Schizosaccharomyces pombe: one gene and its partners. The gene in region 4 interacts genetically with the main gene of each other region. Each region holds a gene or a part of one and is shown on either strand. Other genes may lie near its edges. The genes, in order: sgo1, rec11, hhp1 and rec8.

Evidence for each region.
Region 1: of rec8 (region 4) and sgo1, extra expression of one is lethal in a mutant of the other (dosage lethality), as found in Schizosaccharomyces pombe (2 studies listed by BioGRID, with this or other methods).
Region 2: of rec8 (region 4) and rec11, changing one enhances a phenotype caused by changing the other (phenotypic enhancement), as found in Schizosaccharomyces pombe (one study listed by BioGRID).
Region 3: of rec8 (region 4) and hhp1, extra expression of one impairs growth in a mutant of the other (dosage growth defect), as found in Schizosaccharomyces pombe (one study listed by BioGRID).

What each region holds. Positions count from the first base shown.
Region 1 is NC_003423.3:966,870-971,563, forward strand, and holds sgo1 (shugoshin Sgo1), read right to left. Parts: upstream 1,899-4,694; coding exon 1,798-1,898; exon of another isoform or gene 1,736-1,797; coding exon 877-1,735; 3' UTR 867-876; downstream 1-866. Other genes in the region: poteasome interacting protein Txc1, read left to right, coding at 1-465; SPOM_SPBP35G2.04C (uncharacterized protein), read right to left, coding at 2,139-2,396, 2,582-3,002, 3,095-3,165; serine/threonine protein kinase (CK1 family) Cki2, read right to left, coding at 4,088-4,694.
Region 2 is NC_003421.2:1,222,345-1,229,752, reverse strand, and holds rec11 (meiotic cohesin complex STAG protein Rec11), read left to right. Parts: upstream 1-2,784; 5' UTR 2,785-2,827; coding exon 2,828-3,092; exon of another isoform or gene 3,093-3,158; coding exon 3,159-3,271; intron 3,272-3,286; exon of another isoform or gene 3,287-3,356; coding exon 3,357-3,455; exon of another isoform or gene 3,456-3,504; coding exon 3,505-3,854; intron 3,855-3,898; coding exon 3,899-4,043; exon of another isoform or gene 4,044-4,100; coding exon 4,101-4,883; exon of another isoform or gene 4,884-4,920; coding exon 4,921-5,336; intron 5,337-5,379; coding exon 5,380-5,665; intron 5,666-5,752; coding exon 5,753-6,067; 3' UTR 6,068-6,445; downstream 6,446-7,408. Other genes in the region: cardiolipin synthase PGP phosphatase domain-containing Gep4, read right to left, coding at 1-29; G1/S-specific B-type cyclin Cig1, read right to left, coding at 961-2,208; rei1 (ribosome biogenesis protein), read left to right, coding at 6,746-7,408.
Region 3 is NC_003423.3:1,852,812-1,858,903, forward strand, and holds hhp1 (serine/threonine protein kinase (CK1 family) Hhp1), read right to left. Parts: upstream 4,100-6,092; 5' UTR 3,998-4,099; coding exon 3,107-3,997; intron 2,985-3,106; coding exon 2,778-2,984; 3' UTR 1,862-2,777; downstream 1-1,861. Other genes in the region: lvs1 (beige protein 1), read right to left, coding at 1-1,452; mug176 (BRCT domain protein), read right to left, coding at 4,952-6,092. UniProt on the Schizosaccharomyces pombe protein: Involved in DNA repair. Has a probable role in repairing alkylated DNA and may regulate the activity of protein(s) involved in double strand break repair caused by gamma rays.
Region 4 is NC_003423.3:2,565,727-2,571,493, forward strand, and holds rec8 (meiotic cohesin complex kleisin subunit Rec8), read left to right. Parts: upstream 1-3,211; coding exon 3,212-3,267; intron 3,268-3,276; exon of another isoform or gene 3,277-3,310; coding exon 3,311-3,498; exon of another isoform or gene 3,499-3,550; coding exon 3,551-3,647; exon of another isoform or gene 3,648-3,699; coding exon 3,700-4,949; exon of another isoform or gene 4,950-4,989; coding exon 4,990-5,084; 3' UTR 5,085-5,267; downstream 5,268-5,767. Other genes in the region: oxidative stress transcription coactivator/ribosome recycling protein Oxs1, read left to right, coding at 708-1,241, 1,350-1,439; atp7 (F0-ATPase subunit D), read left to right, coding at 1,975-2,502; origin recognition complex subunit Orc1, read left to right, coding at 5,436-5,767. UniProt on the Schizosaccharomyces pombe protein: Involved primarily in the early steps of meiotic recombination. Required to ensure reductional chromosome segregation.

The DNA of each region.
Region 1 (4,694 bases), 1.6 Mb from region 4:
CGTTATGATGACACTGATATCGTAGAAAGTGATGCTGATGACCAACTCTTGTTTCAGGTACCGTTTGCAGGTGCGGCAACACTAAAATCAATTTTGGTTCGCATTTTTCCTAATGAAACCGCTCCACACTCCTTTTCACTTTTTCCCAATCGTACCGACTTGGATTTTGACACAATCGGTGATGTCCAAGCCACTGAAACATTTGAATTTCCCTTGACTTTTGAAGGAAGCCATATCTTCGAGTTTCCTGTTAAGACTCGTCTCTATCAAAACCTTCAAAATCTCAATATCTTCTTCACCAAAAGCGACGGTTCTGATGATCCTACACAAATCGCCTACATTGGTCTTCGTGGTTCTTTTGTTCCCTTCAAGGGTGATCCTGTTGTAACCATTTACGAAGCTACTCCTAGACCTTCAGATCATCCCAAAGTTAACCAAGAGGAGGTTTTCCGTTCTTACTATTAAGCTCCCGGGAAGTTTAGATTCCTTCCTTTTGGTTTTTTCCTCTCTTATTTGAGATTTTTGTTTTACCCAAAGCAAAATAAAAAATATATATGAAACGATACGAATACGCTTTGATTTGGATTTTTTTTAATGACGGTTATTTAAAGAATATCTAACGCCCTTTTTCTTTTCTTTTTCTTAAATGGCTAAGTCTCCATACTTTTTTAGCTTATGTTTAAATGTTGGTTTGTATTTATTGGCCGATTAATTATGTGTTTATGTAAAAGAAATGAGCCTTGATTAGGTTCTTTTTTTCTTCCTCTATTATTTTTTGTTTTTCTCTTGAATTTAAATGTTGCTTGCAGTAGATTAAATTATAAATTAGCTGTGCTATAAATGTGAAAATATTTAACAATGTGACCTCAATATAATTTATGCTTTGCCTCTGGGATGTCGTTTGCGTTTTCTATCAGATGGTAAGTCAAAGTCTCGTCGTAGTTTAGTTCGCAAACTGGGTATTGCATAGTTTATCACTTTGACTGATCGTCTTAGTTTTTCACGTCCATTAATCCTTGGTTGAGATTCTTCAAAATCACATGGGGAGCTGTCTCCGGTTGCTTGTCCTTTAAGGTCAGTTATCTGTTCAGCACTTTTACAAGGAATACAAACACAAACATTTGATGTTTTAGCCTTTTCTTCTTCAGTTTCGCCCTCGTTGATGGATTCAAATTCGTTTTCTTTTAATTCCTTTGAAAAGATGGTGATATTTTTTTGCGGCAATGAGTAATTCACCTCATCTTGTGGTATTTTGTTTACGTGGGCATTGGTTTTATCTTTTAATATACATTTTCCAGGTTTTTCAGATAGAGCCGGAGGACCATGGACTTTTTTTTGGAAATCTTGAAAACAATACAATGGTTGCCCTGTTTCGAGACTTTTAAGTTCATCATTAAATGATACATACTCCAAGCGTTTATTATGCAAAATCTGATAATCTTCTTTCGAATCTTTATTTTCACAGGTTGTAAATTGACTTTTTACATTCGCTTCGAGGAAATCTGATGAACACTTTTTCTCTATAATCTTCAGTAAACTTTGCACTTGTGAAATCTTTTTGTGAATGGTTTGTATCTCAGGAAAGAAGTTTTTTAACAAGTCCTCAGTTTGAGATTGATTGCGAAATCGAGCTTCAAGTTTAACCAAATAACTTTTCAAAGTGAAATTTTCTTGTATCAAATCTTGAATTTCGTTTTCAGATTCTCTAATTTTTATAGAAAGCTGAGTATTTATTCTGAAAGTTAGATGTTTATTATTTACCACAAGGGATTCAAAAATGGTGTACTTTGACCTTACTTTATAATTTCACGATTTTGTTTTAAAAATTTCTTTTTCAACGACTCCATCGGCAATTTATCTTCATTGTTTATATTTGAATTTATAAATTGAAAGTTCATAGCTTTTTTAAAGCTTTTTTTGCGAAAAGCAATTAAGGACTTGCTGATGTAAACAAACCTGTTAAGTGTAAGGTAAACAATCGCAAACTAAAGTCTTGTCATATTGAGAAAGGCTCTTTTCTTTAAGGAACTTGCCAAATCAATGTAAATTAGTATATAATAAATTAGATGAAAGATGGTTGTACGACTTAATGCAGCCCATATCCTGAATAAAAATTGATAAAAAGAACATAAAATTAATTACTGCTTCGCTATCCGACAATATCCATCCAACTCCTGAGAGATTAAATGTAATATTCGACGAATTCTTTCATCAAACTTTTGGAAATAATGATGCAATTGTGAGAAATTAGATTCGTCCGTGGTCTTTCCTATTGCTATAAAGTTAGAGGACAAGGGAGCTTTATACTTTTTGAAAACACCTCTAAAGAATTCATAAGCTTCCAGTATACTGGTGAGATAACCATGAAAAACAGTACAAAAACTGAGATCGTAAGTCTAAGTAAGTAGTCGGTTAGTATGCATCATTAAGAAAACGTGTTAAACATTGGCATATTATATCAACGAACGTTGAATTTAACTACATGCAAAGGTATAACATTATCAACCCTAAAAATTGCAGATACGTCTTTTGGATAAGATCCCTTACATAGTAGTCCGCTTAAAATTTATGTAAAACTTACTATAGGTAAAAGCTCCATGTTCTTGCTAGCATGGTCTTTTCCAAAAGGGTATCTTATGCTGTCTAATATTGCTCGAAAATGTGAAATGCTCCTGGTCGTAACGTAAAACCCTTTTTCAGTCAACAAATAATTCCGAAACTCAGCCGTAGTAATATAAATGGAACGAGCAACGTCTTTAGCATCGCCATCGGATTCCTGAATTAGACATTGTATGTTTCTAGCATGAGATAACAAAGCGACCGTTCTAACTGTTAGCCATAAAATGGTAAAGAGTTTCTTATAAAAATGTAATCGTATTAAAATGGGTAGGTTAATACCAGATACGAACCTTTTTTTAAAATTGTTTCTAACCATAAACGAGTCAAGTGCTTTTCGGTCAAGTGAGACTCCATGGAAGCGAATTTTATCATTTTTAGAAAATCTAATAAAGTTAGTAAGTAAACTCATAAATCATTCACTTTAAATTTTAAAACTTCAGGCGACAAACACAGAAATTCTTATAATTACACACACATTTCAAAAAACTTGGCTATATATGCTTCATTTTTATTAATTCTATCCTCAATGGAGCTATTAGATATCATATTTCGAAGCCGCTCTTGTCAATTTTAGACTCAAATCGTTTAACACACATGCACATGCATGTGCACGCACTAAGAAGTTAGAAAAGGGAGATCTATTTAACACCTGATAAAACTTGGGTTAAAACTTCAAGTCTACAGTCTTGATACGAAATTATATCTACGCCATAGAGAAAAAAAAATAAAAATTACATACTATGGTTTGACAGATTTTAGCGTTAGTTTTTGAAGAGGTCGTATACAGCATATTAGGTATACGCTGCAGTAATTATAACCCAATAAGTCAAAATTTTTTCTTTATTTGTTGCTGATTGTTTCCTTTACTAAAAAGGGATTTACCATTACTCAAAAGAAATTACCTAGTTTCCAATAAATCATATGGCATTTGTCCAGTTCAAATACTTTAAGACACGTATAGTTTATTTTTTGAATGTCCAGCTAAAAAATATATTACACGAATCAGTATAAAAAGAATTCCTTTCTTTTATTCTATTTATTTGTAATTGAAAACGAATTAGCTTCCGTTGTCATTTTACCAATTGTTAGTACCTAGAATACATATGGTTTGGTTATATATGTGTATGTATATATTATTTACTACAATAGTACAATGTCAGTTTTAAGACAATATTGAGTTATGTTAAAGGAAAGCAACATTAAAAGATTAAACGAGAACCAGCAAAGTAGGCTAGTGCCAGCAAATTTGCAATCGAAATAATTAAAGAATTTGATTTAAGCACCCGCTCAAAGACGCTATACAGCGTTTCTCAAATTAATATTAAAAAAAGATGAACCATTTATCCCGTACTCTGAAAACCAAATCATCAAATGATTGATATTGTGAAAGCATATCTACCGCATAGTAGAACAACACTTATTTAAGTTAAGAAAGTGAGTGACTCTAACAATAGTTGAAGCTTCGAAACTAAGAAAAGCAACGACAGCATATCATATCAAAAAATCCTCCTTTTGCTTCCGAATCAGAATTATCGTTAGGATGATTTACTCCGACTGCATTATTCGAGGGCTGAGATACATACATAGGTCGAACCCTATCGTAACCTCTAGAAGAATGAGCATAAATTGTTTTTTTAGAAGCAGACTGTTCTTGACGCACCAATGGAGCGTTTTTGCTCGGCAACGCATCGAACGATGAGTAATTTCTAGGACCTCTCACCCCATATGAGGATTTAAATCGCATGTTCTGTGTTTGCAAAGTACTGTTCTTTTTTCTGGAATCATCATTTTGAACAACATTTAAGCCAAGGTAATTCTTTCGTCGCTTCATAGCAACAACAGAAAAATGAGAAGAGCTTGACTCCCAACCTTTACCGTCATTCAATAACATCCAATCATAAACCCCATCATTCGTATCACCATTTGCTCGAAGTACATCATCAAATAACTCTTGTAAAAACGCATAATCCGGTTCTTCATCAAATTCTAACGAACGCACATAAGTCATGTATTTACTGAATTCATTAGGAAATCCAGCACAAAGCTCACTAATGGAGGTAGATTGCTTCTTTTCA
Region 2 (7,408 bases), on a different chromosome or scaffold from region 4:
GCTTGAATTCCCTCGATATTAATCAACATGCCAAACAAAGATGATGATAATTAATAAAACAATTGTGTTAGTTTTGTTGTGGATTAAACGATGATAGAACACGTCTTAGATTGCTGAAATTATAACTTGTTGGTGTCCAATGAGTTTAGAGTTGCTAAAAAATGAATAAATGAGATAAATTACTACGTATGAATACTTAATTAAAAAACATCGAGTGGGTTTTCTCAGTTCTTAAATAGACTTGAAGTATGTAATAGGCATCTTTACTACTAAGGATGAACCACAAATGGCTGATTTTTACAAAACAATAGATGTCTGAAAGCATACTAACATACACCAGATTGAAAATACTAGACCTGTGCAAACATCGTTATACAAGGTGTGATGGACTGTCAATGATCTCCCAATAATATTTGTGAAACCAATGCAGGACGTGAAACAAATATGAAGAGAAAAGGTAAAAATAGTTATGTTATTTATAAAGTTTAAGCCTAACTACATAAAGATCAGTAGCAACAATTAGTCCAATTAACCCGTCGATCATGCCCAAAGGTCGGATGAGACGATTGTGTAAAGGTAGGACAAAATTAAATTAAAAAGGTATTAATCCAAAAAAATAAAAATGGTTTAAGGGGTATCAAAAAATAATTACAATAGAGATACCCGTAACGTTATTTAAGTATAGTAAAAGATATAGAAAACAAGATGGAAGAGGGAATTCGGAAAGATAGTTATAAAATAGACAGTAGTTCCAAGTCTCTGGGGGATAATAGGGGTGGTTTAAACGACAAACTTAGCAAACGGAGTGGAGAAAAACTACTACCTTAGGTAAGATATAAAATGCCCTCGAGTGATTGCTGTAGGAAATATTAAGACAATGATCCGTAATAATAAATATCGTAGGCTTAATAATAGCAAACTAACTCAGAATATCATTGTTAACAACTTCTGAAAGCAAACTCAAATCACACTTAGTACCCAGTTGTGAGCAAAGGCGCTAACTCGCTTCATTCTATTCTCCGAGTACTTTCGGTAAATGGCATTGTGATGGTTAGGGGCATCGACCAAACATTCCATAATGATTATGGCACACGGTTTCAATTGACGAGCCGTGTACCCACTATAATATACATGGCAAGGAGTCCAATCCAAATGACCCAACATCTGCATAGACAAGTAGTAGGCAGTAGCAGCAATGAAGCTAATATGGGCACCTATAAAAATTTCATCCATCAAGGTTACTTCTTGAAGATATTTGGCGAGCATGCGAATGTCGTGATCGTAAGAATCAGCTCGACTTATACGACGCAAAAACGACATGGGCCCTGGCCAACTAATGTCAAAATCCAAAAGCATCAGCATATAGCGCTCGGCTCTAATGATTTCGTCAACGGTGAAGATCCCTTGGACAACATGCGCAAAGTTGTAGATGCTTGGAGGGTGTATCTCTTCATACTTACAGGCAATCAGCAAAGCTGATAAACCTACCAACTGGACTTTTTGCAAAGATACGACTTTTATGGAAAGAAACCGGTCGATAAGGTTTACCGCCAAAAATAATGTCTCAGGAAGTAAACGAAAATGTATTTGAACTTGCACAATCCAATCAACAAGCATATGTCTTGTAACCCAGTCAATCTCTTGCTGAACTGACATGTAATTAGGAGGTGGAGCCAGCTTCCTTTCCAAAGATTGCATGTAGTGAAATATCTCAGGATCATAGTCTGGTACCATGGATGGATCAGTTTCTATATCCTCAGGCGATGGGTTAGCTTGTAATCGAGCAGCAGCTTCAGACAGGGCGGCTAAATCTTCCTTGGTCCACTCGGGAATTGTTGGTAGTCTATGCTTCCCGTGTGTAAGAATTCCTTCAGGTGCGTCAAAGCTGCCCTCACGGTTTTCCAAATCATCATCTCCAATAGACTTAGGAGTGGAGCGAATTGACCGTTCCTCTATCTCGACTTTGTCCTGGTATGCAAAATCCTCTTCAAAAGTGTCGCCAGTGGACGAAGAGATGGAGGATTCATTATTCCCTTCAATCAATGTTGGTTCATCTTGTTGATTGATGTTATCTACTGCCTTGAAAGGTGCACGAACACCCGTATTTAACTTGATGTGACTTTTCTTCTTCACATAAATGTGATCCTTTTGTAGCTGATTCTCATCTTGAAAATATGTTGCGTGTCTTGTTTGAGTCGAAACGTCCATTAGTAAACCAGCACACACTTGTTTAGAAAGTTTTGGACATGCGATGAAAGTCGGTTTTCAAACTGCCTTTTACTCAGGTAGGAACCCTAGTCTTCTCTTTGGAAAAGATCCTTAAAAATTTAGATGCTTTTCGACTTCTAAAAATTCGAAAAAATGACTCTACACCCAAATATATGAAGATACTATTGAACGAAGGATTCGAGGAAAGTAATCTTTTGGATTGACCAGAAAGATTAGTACTACAACAGTACAAGAACTAAAAATCTCAAATGAAACCAACGAACAAGAGTATTAACCAAAAGTTGGAGTAGGACTTTGCAAAGGAATACCGAGCTACTACTAATGAGAAAAAGGAGTTGGTGGGTTCTCAAAAGGGGTCAGGGAAAAGCCCGAAATTCCGAGTAAAAACGCGTTCTTATTCATAAATTAGTTACTTTATGTTTCAAAAGTAAAACTTTAATAAATTATTATATACTTGATTGCAATGGTTGTATGTGAACTGCAAAATAATTAATGACTGACTGACGCGACTCGTGTCACGTAAACAAACCCATCGTTTCTGTTAGATTAATCTTTGCCATAACCAACCACCATCGTACCAATTAATTGAGTGATTTCAATGAGATTCGAATTTGAATCAGATGCAAGCAGTCATCTCAATGAAGTCCTTACTGAATTAGAAAGCGTGGAGCTTGAAAATGTTGAATATGAAGGTCCAAGTTTACAGAATGTCAGCATTTGTGCCTCGCCCTCAGAAAAAAAGCGGAAATGGGGAACACAAGATGAATTTTCTTTGACGGAGAATGAAGAAAATAATGAAATAGAGACGAATGAAGAGATGCACGTAAATTCTCATGATTATGCCTTTCCACAAGAATTTTTTCGTAAGTTTGCTTGCTTATAAGAGAAAAAAAGTCTTCGATAATATATTCTAACAAGCATACGAAAAGTCAAACTGTTGGATATAGATATGCCGCTCGAGCAACTTTCTCAACATTATTTTGAAGACTATAAAAGTAATAGCGCTGACTTCATGCTGACCTTTATAAATTTCGCATTAGTTGTAAGTTTAGCAGGAATGATCCGCGACGTTTTCTAGCTTTTGCTGTTTTGTTTACTCTTCCTTTGAAACGTAAACTAATTCATAGGCCTCTGGTTGTCAACCCTTCGTTACGAACTTTGATGTACAGGACGTAGATTCAATTCCTGAAACATTGTCTCAGGTCAATCGTTCAAGTTTTCAAAAGGTGTGTGCATCATCTTTTTGTAATATTTACTTACCATACATATCGCTAGTCTTCTTGCGCTTATACTGATTATCTTTATACTTCTAACTCTAAAGAAGCTAAAACGGTGCGTATTCGTTTTCAGCTTTTTTTGGTCGAATTCATCAGTAAAGTTTACGTGGAAGACGCATTCCTCGGAGACTCATTCATGGAAACTACAAAAGCTTGGATTTTTACCATGACGACAAGTCCTTGGATGCTTGTTAGACATACTGCAACAACTATTTGCTGTGATATCATGCGATGCTTATGCCTTATAGTAAACAAACTTTCCGAAAAATCAAATCAAACTGCGGAAATTCTGGTACTGAGAGACTTAACATCTAGGTTCATTGACATGATTCACGACATTTGTGATAGGTTGGCAATACTACTTTTCTTAACGACTCTAACCTTTTTACTAGTGTACTATTCTCAAGGATTCATGATATACGTGCAAGCATTCGTATAGTGTGTGTTACTGCTCTATATGATTGTTGCCAATTGCTTCCCACCTATCTTATAAACAGAAATTTGATTAGACATTCTGGCTGGGGGTTATCTGATGCAGTAAGTGTATAAACAATCGCTACTGCTGTATCATTTAAATACTAACTGAACGTATAGGAATCACAAATCCGAAAAATCTCCTTAAAAATAATAGATTATCTTTCTTCTCATGAACCTGAAAAAGATCAAGATTTTGTGGTTGATTTTCTTGACAGATTCTCGTTAAGAATTGTGGAGATATGTCGGTACGATATTGATTCTGTTCGATCTGTTGCCCTCAAGACATGCGAGAAACTGATGGAGAAAATATCGTTGAATGGAAAATGTATCAATATTGTTTCTAGCTGCATATTTGACGGGAAGCCCCAGAATCGAATCTCGACAATGCGAATCCTCGTTGCCCATACTAATGAACGCTACGCAAATTATTGTGAAGCAAAGACTGCAACAATCAGCTTATCAAAGCTCTTAAGGCGTGAAAAAATCCCATTGTTAGTTTCCAGCTTTGAAAGCCTATTCAAAATGAATGCGTTATTATTCATACTTGAGCAAGGATTTGAATCTTGGTTCCGTGATAGCAGCGATCACATCTTTTCGCGTGTGAAAGACGATGACAAATTTGTATATCAGTCGCAGGAGAATAACTTTTATGATGCGGATTTCATACGAGAATATGATATGAATAATCATAGGCAGCAATTAATTGAGGAAAGCATGCATTCCATTCATACAAACTCACAATTACTTGCCAGTTGGGAGGATGTTGCAAAGCTCTTGCTTTATGATCGCTTTGATGCAAAAGATACTAACAGTGTCTTAAACCCCTGTATACCGAGCAACGCAGTGATAGAATTTTCTTCTATCTATCTCCATTATTTTGCAACACATATTAGCAAAAGAGTAAGTTATTTAAAGCTTCATATTACTAAACCTCTAGTCGAAGAAGCCAGGTAAAAGACTTGAAGATGAGGTCGTAAACCAACAGCAAGCAATGTTACGAAACCTTCCATTACTATTACAGAAATACAGAGAATCTTGTGTTTCATCATACTTTTTTATAAAATGCGTAGAGCAAATTCCTGACGAGCTTCTTTATAAGAGAGAATTTCATAAGGACTTTTCAAAGTTGTATAAAGAAATACTGGATATATTTAATTCAACTACCGTTAACTTCCTGATGATTTTGTGCAGCAGATTCTTCCACCGATTGGCGGTCAACAAAGTTGTACAGGAAGATATATTATTTGCCATTGACAATGTATATAATGATTTAGCAGAAAGTTTACACGAGCAACTCAATGCATACATTCAAAGAAAAAAAATAAACAAAAAAAATCAGTTGAATGGCAATGAGTAAGGATTTTTCTTTTTGTTATTAGATTGCTAACTTTACAAGTGAAACGCAAAACTTGGTTTTAGCTTTAAATAAGTTTGGATGCTTTGCAAAGGAAATGGTCTGTCTGCGAGACGTCAATGATTGGAACATTAAACTGTCAGAAAAATTATGCGAAATTTGTAGTCTTGAAGTCGGTCCTATCGTCTGTTATTCTTCTTTGAAAGTTTTATTTCTTCTTCTGCTTTCTGATATGAGAGATAGAAACTGTATTTTTACAAATATATTTTTAAAAGCAGCTAAGGTTGCGAAGCAAAAAAATGGAAACTCCTTTTTAAGCAAAGTTTTCGTAAGTCTCTAATGTTGCTGTCTATCTATCTTTTATGACTGTTGATTTCAATCACATTTAGTGGAGTAAAATGCTAACTATAAGCAGATTACAATTACGATGCTTACATTGTTTCTTGGATCAAAGGCAAATAATTGGGATATAAATTTTAGTGACGATGACTTGAAATTGATGAATGAAGAAGAAATCATGGAACAAATTGAAACTTTTAAAGCATGGTCAATGAAATTTAAAGAGAAATCATCTGGAAACCCTTCTTACTTTTTTTCACCCGAAGATACTGAGGAGAAGGAATTATGGAATAATCTGTTTGAGGATTGGTATCCCAATCGTGCTAGAGATCCTGGAACACTGAGTCATTTAGTGAAAGGTTTAAAAGAAACAGCTGACCATTTATCATAAAACGAAATTTTAACACTAATTAAACCCCGAGGGAAAAGAGATAAGAAAGCACATGTGCTAACTTTCTTATTGAGGCAAGGAAACTTATTAAACAAAAGGAAAAGACATTAAACTCTATTATGTATTTCCTATATGATTATTCCAACGAAACTAACTCAAAAATACCTCAATTTCAAATACTCAATTTTAATTAAACCCTGAAGAGTGGGAGCTCGTGTGCTCGCTAAAACTACAATGCATGCCATTTCTTTCTTTCCAGCCCTTTGTCTATATATGAGTTTTCTTAGGACTTACTGGTTAATCAAAAGGTACGCCTTATGTTACTAAGCAATAGAAAATGTTTTTGAGGGATGCATAAATTAAGTTTAAAAAAACAAGACATTAAGATGTTTAACATATCAATTAATTTTATTTGATTTCAATAAAATTGATAATTATTTGACACTTTAAAATAATTTGGTGGTGCTACAAGTTATGTAGGCAATAGTTGATCGTAGGCAAGTTGGATTCAACCAACACCTTTTTGTGCAAGGTATTGTAAAAAAGGGTTGACTTCATCTCATTAAGTTAGTTTGAGTCAAAGAATATATTTGAGGAAAGACTCGGCTTCAATATCAATTTTTTTTTCGATAAAAAAGTGTACTGGCTAAGAATTGAATTACTTGACAGAATACCGAAATGTCGACTTCTTTTGCTTGCACGACTTGTACTGTGGCTTTCAATAATGCAGAATCACAGAAAATACATTGGAAGTCTGACTGGCATCATTATAATCTGAAGAGAAAGGTTGCTAGCTTGCCGCCGTTGAGTGCTGAGGTGTTTGCTGGAAAGATTTTGTCCATTCAAAAGCAGAACGAGGAAGTCCAGAAAAAAGCAGAATTTTATCAAAACTGTGAAGTATGTAATAAAAAGTTTTATTCAGAAGGCGCCTATTCATCACATATGGCTTCGAAGAAGCATCGCGATAACTTGAGCAAATTTCAAAGAAACAGCCGTATTAAGAAACTTCAAAGTGAAGATGCAAGTAGTATTGCTTCTTCAACCTTGTCAATGGGTGAACCTGTAGTTGATAGCGAAATTGAGGAAGAAGAAGATTTAGCTTCACAACTGACATCAAGGGCGATATCCCTTTCCAACTTATCTCTTCATGGTCGAGAAAGTGAACCCTCTAAAACTGAATTGGCTACTTCCATACCTCAATCGAACGAAGCTTCCAAGTCTCATCTATTTACACAAGAACCAACTCCTGAAGAAATTGAAGCTGAACTTGCTCGTCGAAGTAGTCAACGTCTTTCACCAAGAGATTGCCTGTTTTGCGCAGCCTCTTTTTCTTCATTTGAT
Region 3 (6,092 bases), 710 kb from region 4:
GTTACGATGGACTAAGGTAATCAAATGCCACGAAGGTGGATTTAGACTAGGATTATCTTTGTAAATTTTGGAAAAAAAATTGGTAATAGGAGTTGAAAAGTTAACTACACAGGTATCTTTACTTGAGCCAATATGAACAACTACAGTCTTTTTGGATGCATCAAGTAGTAAGCGAAAAAGGGTTGATTTCAAAAAATCAGAGATGAGAAAAAGGGTAGTTGGGGCATAATTGCCATCATCGTTCATTAGAGACTCAATGTTTAACCAAAGGGAAACAGAATATCCATTAATTGGCATTACAGGAGAGCTCAGCGTAAAATCAATAGAAGAGTAACCTTTTGTCGAAGGATTAAAATAAAAAGATGGTGCAACAAGGTGGGAAAGAGCTTTTAATAACCATGTTCGAAGGAATTCAGACTTGGTTTTCAAATATGTACGTAAAACCTTTGCAGTAGAAGCATTCGACACTCCAAAAGTGGCACAATGTAATGTGATCTCATTGAGCAAATCTTTCGAAACATCCGACAATGGAAAAGAAGTGGGAGGCTCGAAAAGGTATGTTAAAAGGAAATGCATAGTTTTGGAATAACCAATTTTAATAGCGTTTTCAGGAGAAGAACGAATAAGTGCACGAAGGTGAAGTAGGATAAGATTGAAAATGGAGATAGAAGGACAGAGAAGAAGGACTTGGGGTAAAACATTAGGGAAAGCTAGCGGTTTGATGGAAAGCTTCTGTATTGCAGCTTCCACTACGCGAGATAACTCAACAAGAGATGCATTGGTATTATCTTGCAAAGAAGGTACAAGCTTCAAAAGCGAAAAAGTACTATCGTTTTGGGCAAAAGACAAAACAGCCAGAAGTAGCCTAGTTTTTAGGTAATATGCACTACATATCTTGGCCTTCTTTAAATCCTTACGATCTTCATCATAATCAACGTCAGAAGATATTGAAACTGTCTCCGATTGGGAATCAATCTCTTGCGCCCCTTCTGACTTTAAATCTTCATTAGGAGAAGCAGCTTGAATAGAAGAATCTGTCTTGGAAGAAGTACCTATTGCATAAATGGAAATATTGGAATCATCCTGTATAGCACAGAATGAATAAAACATTCTTCGAATAGCGAGCTCAATCCATGCCTCAATATGTTTTCTGGATAGTAACCAAGAACGCAAGATAGTATAAGAAGTTGCAATTCCTAATATTTGCAAGCAGCATTCAAAAATATCAAGACTTAGTAACGATTGAAAGTTTAGCTTAGTGACAGCCTTCTTAATGGCTGCAAAGCCATTGTCAGTAATAAAGAGTTGTGGAAAAAAATTACTGGGAATATCATTTCGAATGAACCCCCTCAATTTTCGTAACTCTTCTAACAGAACTTTTTCTGAGGGACAACCCTCAAGCCTCGATAACAACTCAACGCTTTTAGAATAGGCATTCGCCTTTCTGTCCATAGCAGCTTACTTGAATAAAAGATAGAAGAAAGAACCTAACAAAAATATTCGTTCCTAGCCCCTGGTGCACAAGTTTCGTATTTATTTCGATAAACTCTGGTCAAGTGAGTGTATATTATGAATAGGTCATGTGAGTTGAAGCAGAGAGAAATGGTTTTAAAAAAGAAAACGATTAATATATATAATCGATGAAATTAATGAAAATTGATGCTTGCTTAAATTTATCGTTATTGAAACTGGCAATAATAGTTCGTAGTGGTTGGCGGTGAAGTATAGCGGTGATAATGATTTCTTGCCAAACGAAGTGAACTATGAAAACTTGCTGTAGAAGAGAACTACACCAAATAGATAGTAAGTAAAGACAATTTATTTCTATTTCATTTATGCTTGTTGATTTTGAAGTAGGTGTCATCATTCTAAATTCATCTTATTGATAATTCAAAAACTTACAAACAACACCTTTCTAGTTTTTTCAAGTATGTTTACAAACTAAAATGAAAAGCAAAATATTTATTATATTTAGCAAACAGAAGTGTGAACAACATCGAAAGACACTTCATGAAATGAACGCTTCAATAAAACAGTCAAGCACGAGATCATGCACCCAGAACACGAACTAAAACAAACCATTCATCCCTCGAGCATTAAGTCATTGAATTTAAACGCATCTTAAGCATCCTAAGGTTAAACGACGCTGATTAAATGAGTTCAGCTTGGAAAAGACGGTATCTATAAAGAAAAGCAGCAAATAGCTGATAATATATTATTAAAAGTATATGAATGCAATGCCTTCTAATTAGATTAAACCCCAAGGCTCATCACACATAAAAAAGTAACCAATTTGCTTATGGCGTCGTAAAAAAAAGGCTTTAAACCACGCATAATCTGTCACCAGGATTCGTGTTAAGCGAAGATAAAATTATGATCATTTCTGCAGAAAATTCTCTCACTTTTTTCTGTTCCTGGCTCGAAACATATATGATAATGTATGAATAGATTCACAGGTAGTAAAAACAAATACCAAATGTATTATTAGCAAATGTACTAATATTAAAAAATTTTTCACCAAAACTTGCCATAATGAGGATATGATCATGAGGTTAGCATAGAATTTAAGTCAACACAAGATCTTCAGCCAAATAAGCTATGAACCCTCAATAAACTATAAGCAAAGTAACTTTCGCCATCCCAAGGAAAAAGCCCTGCGCTATCAACAAAATTAAAGGACGTCTGGAGGATAAAAGGCAAGTATTGGAAGACTCCAGATGAGAAGAAAATATAAAAATAATGTGCCCATGCTATATAATAATAATATGAAAGGCTAATCAATTAGGTCTGTTGATATATTGAGCTCCGGTTGCAGATGGATCATTTATAACAGGAACGGTTGTATTAATGTCTCCGCCTTTTTCATCAAAGTTTTGTTTTTGATAATTTCTAAATGAAGACCTCTCTGGCGGCGGATTAATAGCTTGAGGAGTTGCAGACAGTTGTTGCTGTAATTGCTGCTGATGTTGTTGGTCTTGTTGAGTCTACAATTTAAATGTTAGTAAATGTGACTATGTAAACTTCATAAAATATCATATTACATTGGTTTTCAATAACTCGGAAACCCAGAAAATAAAAAAAGCACTATTACCAAGATATCTCATACCTTTCTCTTCAAGGTCCAATCAAACATATAGTCAAACTCATAAGATTGCCGACAAAAAAGATCTCGGAAAAGCTTGCGAAGGTAGGCGTAATCAGGTTTGTCATCGAAACGTAAAGATCTCGTGTAATTGAGATAAATTGAGAACTCCTGAGGGAATCCCCGACATAAGACCTCTGTAGGCGTAGAGATCTTCTTCTCCATAATCTTTTCATACTTTTGCTTTTTCGTGGTAGCCTTCAATCCCTGCCAAGGCAGGCTACCACGACAAAAGTAGACGAGCACATAACCTAAAGATTCGAGGTCATCACGGCGGGATTGTTCAATACCTAAATGAGTATTGATGCTAGCATAGCGTGCAGTACCTGTAAGATTCTTGTTCTCGCGATAAGGAATGTGCAGGTGAGTTTTGTGATCACGATACTTCTTAGCCAATCCGAAATCAATTATGTTAACTTGATTTCCTCTTTTACCTATTCCCATTAAAAAGTTATCAGGCTTAATATCACGATGAAGAAAAGATTTTGAATGAATGAATTCAATTCGAGAAATGAGCTGGTCCGCAAGGAGAAGAACTGTTTTCAAAGAAAACTTTCGATTGCAAAAATTAAACAAGTCTTCCAACGAAGGACCCAATAAATCCATCACCATAGCGTTGTAATCACATTCTACACCGAACCAACGAACAAACGGGATTCCGACCCCTCCTGACAAAATGCGATAAACTCTGTATTCATACTCCAATTGAGGGTGTTTAGCACGAGTTGATTCTAGCTTGATAGCGACCTCTTCACCAGAAACGACATTAGTCCCAAGATAAATGTCTCCGAAAGATCCACTGCCAATTTTACGACCAATGCGATACTTGTTCCCAATCCGGAGGTCCAAAGCCATAATAATATTATAACGCTTTTAAGGCTAAAGGCACTCGCTTTTTCTCTCCAATATACTATAGATTGAAATTGAATGATGTGGTTGAGGTAAAAGTAGGGGTTCGAAAAAGTAGAGCAAGTTAGGTAACGTAGAAGTAAAGAACTTAAAGTAAACATAACGAGAGTTAGCATTGCTTTATCAAAATAACGATAATAAATTATAATACAAAAAAAATTCGCTATGCGATTAAATTATAATAGATAGTGAATTTGCGAATATTGATAGTTTACGATGAATGTAAATAAAACATACCTACATACATTCGTACATCCAATATCTATTTTTAGAATGGGAGCGTGATGCTTTTCTTGGTTTCTATTTTATCAATTACCATTTACTGAAAAATGTAAAATGTAAGGTATGGTTTATTAACACTAAGAATAAAAGGCTAATAAAATGTGTCCTTTATAACAGACTCTTCCTTGTAATCTATATACAAAATCTAATAATATTTGAGCCCCAGTAAACGAATGATCTAAAAAGATAGAGAAAATTCGGGTTCTCAGACGAAAATAAAAGCTGTAAGATACACTGTCTTTCCAGTTGAAGCGAAAAAGACCTCCAACCGAATATTGGAGTGCGAAAAAATAAAATGAAAGAACATTTTAAAACAATAAGAAAACCTTTTTCGGAAATTTAATATTGTAGTTCTTTACATAAGAAAAGCGAAAAATGCAAGGCATTTTTCTGTTCTAAATAAGAGTTGACTAATTCTCCATTGAGATTATAAATAATTTGGGTCAGGATTGTGACGACTGAGCGAATAGAATAAAATAAAATAAAATAAACTGACAATGGGCAGGATAAAAGAAAGGGGAAAAACACGCAAAACACTGATCTAACAATATGTACAATGAGCAGTGCGGAATTAAACTTGTAAATGAAAGAGAGTAATGAAATAGAAAGACAAGGCACTTAGAAATCTATAAGACTAACCTTCTTTTTTAGTGGAGAGCCAATTAACGGTTTGTAAGCTAGATACTTCTTTTTGGCAGACTCTAAATGAGTCATCTCTAAATCCGTCGTAATTTTGAAAGACGAAAATAGATCAGCCGTTGGAGATAGCGATATTTGAGAAATGGTTTCTGGATTATTTTCTCGTTGAGCGTCATTGGACATAGATGACTCATTAGAATCACTGCAAGTAATGAGACCAAACTCATAATCATCGGACAAAGTTTGATCCAAGAATGAGTCGGCATTAAAACAATGAGAATCAGGAGACCCATTAACGAATGGTTCTAAATTTTCTGCTTGAGTATCGAAAAAGAAGGCATCAGAAGGGTCCTGAATCATTTGCGTGTCAGTGAAAGGATCAAGAGGATTCAGCAACTCCGAGTCATCAGTCTGTAAACATTTAGTTTGCAGTATATCTTGAGGATCAACTAAGTACATTTCCTCGTCGACTAAATACTTAGATGAGTAACAAGCCAAAACCCATTTAGGAGATACACAAACGATTGGGACTTGAGCAGAACTAATTTTCTTGAGAGTTTCTTGTGAGCAGTCGTAGAGTACTGCGTGAGAAACGGGATTTTCCTCGGTCATTTGTAAAGACGCATGAACAGTTGCGCCCAATAGACGCAATTGTTCAGTAACGATTTCCATTGAAAACATACCTTCTCCGATTTCAACGTAAGCATGGACAGAGCTCAAAGGGAATTTTTGTTCTGTTTCATTAATTTTTGAAATGGTAAGGCCTTGTAAAGATCGAGAAAGGTAAGCCATGGGAACCGTTGGGTTCCATAAATCATGAGGATTTTTCTCATTCATGTCGGTTTGAAACAATCCCTCGTTCGGGGAGTAGTCTTTTGATAGAGGAAAGAGGTATTTAGATGGTGTAATTATATTACTTTCGTCAAAGGATTGGCATATTTGACTGGGGTCTTCTTCACTTTTGGGATTAGTGGGATTACTTTTTGTTTTGGATAATTTCTTAATTTTGTTATCGCTATTTGTTTCTTTTTGTAGAGAATTTTCTATTGTCCGGCTGATACGATCATTGTTGAGCGATTTGCTACTATTTGAATTTAATTCATCGGAAGGAATTGAATGT
Region 4 (5,767 bases):
ATAATTTAGAATTATAGATTCATTAATTCCTTTAACAATTAAGATGATCGGAATGTTAGTTTGTACGTTATTTGTATCGAAGATGAAGTTTAATACTTATATAGATTACAATAAACTAATCAATACTTGAAAGCAATTGTTCACTGTACGATATTGTTGAATAATTTGGCAAGAATAAGCATTTAATTTGATGATATATTTTACTTTTTCAAACTTCATGAAATACACATCGAAGTCCATAACAATTGTCATGATATAATATTGTAATTGAAGAGTATGATCAATTTACATCGGTTGACTTTGTTTCTCTTTTTAATGAGTTATCACTGTTAAGAATGCCATCATGTCATAAAAAGGATTTATGGTGTATTATGCAGTGTCTATACCATTCAATATACCCTTAGCCTGCATCAAGGCATTTAAGGAAATAAATAGTAGCAGATTTCCAATTAAGAACTTTTATTTTCTATTTTAGTGATAAAAATTCAGTTACATACCAACGTTTGACGCCGTTTGTTCAGTGTTATCAATACACCTTTGTAAATACACTGATAAAAATAGGGAGATATAACGAGACATTCACTTATAAAAATTATCAGATCAGATTATTAATCCATCCTTCGTCGCCTTTCTTATAACGAGGCGGCATATAGAAATCACCTGTTGTTCAAGTCATTCAAATCTCACATACCATTAATAGCCTTGATATGGGGAATCCAAAAAAGAGAGCAGAAAAGGCCGAAGCGGCAAAATCTAGAAAACAAGACGAGGAAAAGAAAAAAAAAGACGCTGAAGAAGACGAAAAATGGTCCAAGGGCGTCAAAACTAATAAAAAGGAGCAAGAAGCTGAAAAACGAAAAGCTGCGTTGGAGAGGAAAGCTGAACGTGAACGTTTAGAAAAAGAAGAAATGGAGAGTCTTCCATCTAAAGGAGGAAAGGGGTCAAAGAAGGCTGCAAAGAAGAATTCATCTTTAGACGCTTTCCTCAACGAAACCCCTCAGACAGCTTCATATAGTGCCCGCAATATTGATGATGCTTTGGATTTGTTAAGTTTAAACAATTCATCGTCCAAAGATAAAATTGATCGTCATCCTGAACGTCGGTTTAAAGCAGCTTTGACAGAATACAAACAATCTCGTTTGCCTGAACTACGCAAAGAACAACCGGGCCTCCGTTTAAACCAATATGAAGACATAATGTATAAAGAATTTCAGAAACATCCGGACAATCCTTTCAATAAGGTAAGAAGCGATAAGGGTACATGCATACTCTTTTTGATGATGACCATATCATGTATAAACCCTAAACAGGAAAACCATTGTAAATATCATTTTTACTAACAATTTCAGATGAATGTGAGCTATAACACTAGTCAAGATGAGGTTGAACAGCTTCGTAAAGCTCGTAAAGCAGAATTGGAAGCACGTTTACGCGAGTAACTATAGTTATGGCAATATGTTTAGAACTTTTCTTTTTCCTTTTTACTATGGTAATTCTTTTATATTATTTATAAATTATCAATAAACCAATTACTAAATAATTTTTCTCGACATTCAAAAATGAAATCTTAAATTAAACATGAGAAGTACAAAGTGATTTGGTGATACACCGGTAAATCAAAATTTACAGCTAACTTTGAATTTCTATTAGCACAAGAATGAGTGGAGCGTATACTAATTGTAGGGCACAAGTTCTATTCTAACCGCTTAATTTTTTTTTTTGTAGTAATTTTGTACTTGTTGCTTTCATTTACCCAATTATATGATATTTTTTGAACCATTAAGGAAGCCTACTGCTGAAAGCCAAACCACCTGGCAATATGGCTCTGGCAATGCTAAATCATCCGTTCCCCAACTACCCCCATCTCTTCAACACATAACCAAAAGCAGGAAATATTTATAAGACAGTTAAATTGTTTAACAATATAACTGTTATTTTATTGAATTTTGAATTTTTTCTTCTTTATTTACGCAAATGTCGAAAGTTGCTAGCGCTGCTGGAAAGGCGATTGATTGGGCTAGTGTAGCTAGCAAGCTGAAGCTTGATGCCGCAACTGCTTCTGCTATTGCTAATTTTCGCTCTCGTCATGCTCAGGCAGTTGCCAAATTGGGTACATTGCGAGAGCAGGCTACCACAGTCGACTTTGCTACCTATCGTAGTGTTTTAGCCAACAAGGAGATTGTAAATCGTATTGAGTCTTCTATGAAATCTTTTAAACCTGTGAAGATTGATTTAAATTCGCAACTCAAAGCGATCAATGCATTTGAAGCAAAAGCTAGCGAGGGTGCTAAGAAGAATGTCGAACTTGTCAAAGCTGAATTACAGAATTTGAGTGCTACATTGAAGAACATTGAACAAGCTAGGCCTACTGAAGAAATTACCATTGAGGATATGAAACAAGCAGTTCCCGAAATTGAGAAGATTGTTGAAACAATGGTTACCAAGGGCAAATGGGTCATCCCAGGCTACCGTGAAAAGTTTGGTGATTTGAGTATTATGTAGTTTGCTCCATTAATGAAACATTTTATAACTAGCAATCATATGTGTTATCAATACAAATAAATGTCAGTTGAAAGATAGATAAAATTTCGGTATTTATGAATGGTTTCAAGCAGTATGTTGAAATGTTTAACCATTATTATTAAAATTCTTTTATTGAGTTTCAAACTTCTTAGTACAACTTGAATGACTTTATTTAACCTATTATACAAACATCGTTCACAGCATAATAGTGCGTTAAAAATTTCCACGATCTTTTAATAAGCTATGTCAACTTACGTTAAGTTTTGTTATATTCGTATAATCTCTATTCGATCTAGTGGCACAATAATGAAATTGCTTGTACAATATTAACTATGGATACCTTGGTAGGAGAGCTCAAGATTGAAAGGGCACTAAAATCACATATCTTAGCTCAATTATTAATCATTAGCTTCCATTACATTGTGTTTTGACTCAATCAAAGTAATGATATTTAAATATTCAATCCTTACTTAGATTTTAATAAGACAATATATATTAGCAATGGAGACTTCACTGCAGTATACGTTGGATAACATGTGCCGAGCTGTTAAGTATTCGTTAATAACGATTTTATGTGAGATTAGCTCATATGGTTTAACAATGCGGTATTTCTATGCTTGAACTTCAAATATAATTTTGACGCGTTTAATAAGCTATCTGGTGAACTAACGCGTTCCTGTCTTTCACCATGTTTTACAATCAAGATGTTCTTACAAAGGAAAAGGGAGGAATGGGAGTAATTTGGTATAGATTTACTACAAGATAATAATAAAGCTAATAATTATAGGCTCGCTGCTACATTGGGTTCAAAACATTCATTACGCAAGCTTCACAAGAAAGACATTATGTCGGTAGATATCGATGAAGCTTGCGATTTTGTTGCCTTTTCTCCAGAACCGTTGGCACTACGATTAAGTAGTAATTTAATGATTGGTGTAACGCGTGTATGGGCCCATCAATACTCATTTTTCCATTGTATGTGATGACAGTAGTTTAGGCTGGCAATTTTCTTACTAATTATGCTTAGCCCAAGTTTCAACTCTTCATTTACGTGTTCGAAAAGAATTGGACCATTTCACTTCAAAACCGTTTAAGAATATCGATATTCAGAATGAACAAACGAAGTACGAGTACTATTGGATAATATGACAGATATTCAAATTGCTAACCTTTTAGCCCAAAGCAGTTACTACTCGCAGAAGATCCTGCATTTATCCCTGAAGTTAGTCTCTACGATGCATTTAATCTACCTTCTGTGGATCTACATGTTGACATGAGTTCTTTCACTCAACCCAAGGAAAATCCCAATATTTCAGTTCTTGAAACTCTTCCAGATTCTACTTCTTATTTGATCAATACCAGCCAAAATTATAGTTTACGAAACAATGTTTCGAGCTTTGTTTACGAGGACTCCAGAGCTTTCTCTACAGAAGAGCCCCTTGACTTTGAGTTTGATGAAAACGGGGATATCCAGGAATTGACCAAGGGCACTATAAATTCGGATCCGTCGCTACAAGCTGCTTCACAACATAGCAATCTTGGTTCCGTTCAAAGAGAATACAATAGTGAAGAACAAGAATCAAGGATTCACATGTTCGAAATCGATGAGGACGTTTTACCGTTACCCGTTCCATTGCAATCTGTTATGGATTCAGAGCATAATGAAAATGAACCGCGAGCTTTAAAAAGAAGAAAGGTCCAAAAACTGCTGGAGCCAGATGAAAACATAGAACTGTCTACTCGAACTTTGTCCCAATGGAGAAAGAATTATGTTGAACGAATGATTGCTTTGGAAGCAACAAAGTATGTTCGTCGTAGAGGAGCTTCTTCGGCAAAGAAGAAAGAATTGAACAAATTCTTTGATTGGGAATCTTTCCATCCTCTTTTAAAACCATGGATTGAAAAGCTCAAACCATCAAACAATACTCCCTCTGAAATTGACGATGTATTGAGGAACATTGATACTTCTGAAGTTGAAGTTGGACGGGATGTTCAGGGTGAATTAGGTTTAAACATACCTTGGAATACTTCATCTCGATCAAACAGTGCCATAAATTCTAAAAGCCATTCTCAAACTGGTAGTGAGCATTCCACCCCCTTGCTTGACACTAAATATAGGAAGCGCTTGCCGCATAGCCCATCGATGCCGAGTAGGGTAGAATTTCTTCCTGCCTTAGAATCAAGTCAATTTCATGAAACTCTGAACTCAGAACTTTCATTACAACTCTCTGATGACTTCGTACTATACAAAAATACTCAAGAAGAAAATGCACATTTAATGTTGAGCATGGAAAAAGAATGCGCAAACTTTTATGAGTATGCAAAAACGGCTATCTATGAAAATAATGGGCGCATAACATTTTCAAGCTTATTACCCAATGATTTAAAACGACCTGTAGTGGCCCAGGCATTTAGCCATTTACTGTGTAAGTATCACAATCAAACCACGAACTAACAAAACAATAGCACTAGCAACTAAGTCTGCATTTTTAGTTAAACAGGATAAACCATACTCTGAAATTAGTGTCTCTTTAAACCTAAAAAGCACCGATGCCATTTGAAACTTTTCACATGTTAAACTTAAAATTTTTAAAACGTTGAATTTGGGAATTAAACCCTTTGTTGAAGTTGTCAAAATAATTGACTATGTAATAACATTTAAATAGTATAGTATAACACTTTTCTTAGATTAATGAATGATAATGCTAGCGGATAAATAATTAAAATTAATTAACTACTTACCAAATTTATCTAATTATTATATCTTAAAATTGTGGTATATTATTTGTTGGCTGTTGTACATAGCATGACAGTAGCCTCTATAGTATACGAGTCTTGTTAGTCCAGCACTACAACTCAGGATAACTTTGACCATTGCAATGTTGATAAACTAGTGTTGAACTTCTCTTAATATGCCTAGAAGAAAGTCATTGAGGAGTCAACTATTAATTAACGGCATTGATAAAAGTCTGCTATCTGATGACAGCGCTGACAGTTCTGATATTGACGAAGAGGAAGTTTACGGTGTTTGGACTGAAGAGCCCTTTCAAAAAGAGGCTGGACGTTCTTATTACAGATCTTTAAAGAAAAACGATGTAATATATCGCGTTGGAGATGATATTACTGTACATGATGGAGACTCAAGCTTTTATCTGGGGGTAATTTGTAAATTGTACGAAAAAGCAATTGATAAGCATTCTGGAAAGAAATATGTTGAAGCAATTTGGTATAGTCGAGCTTATGC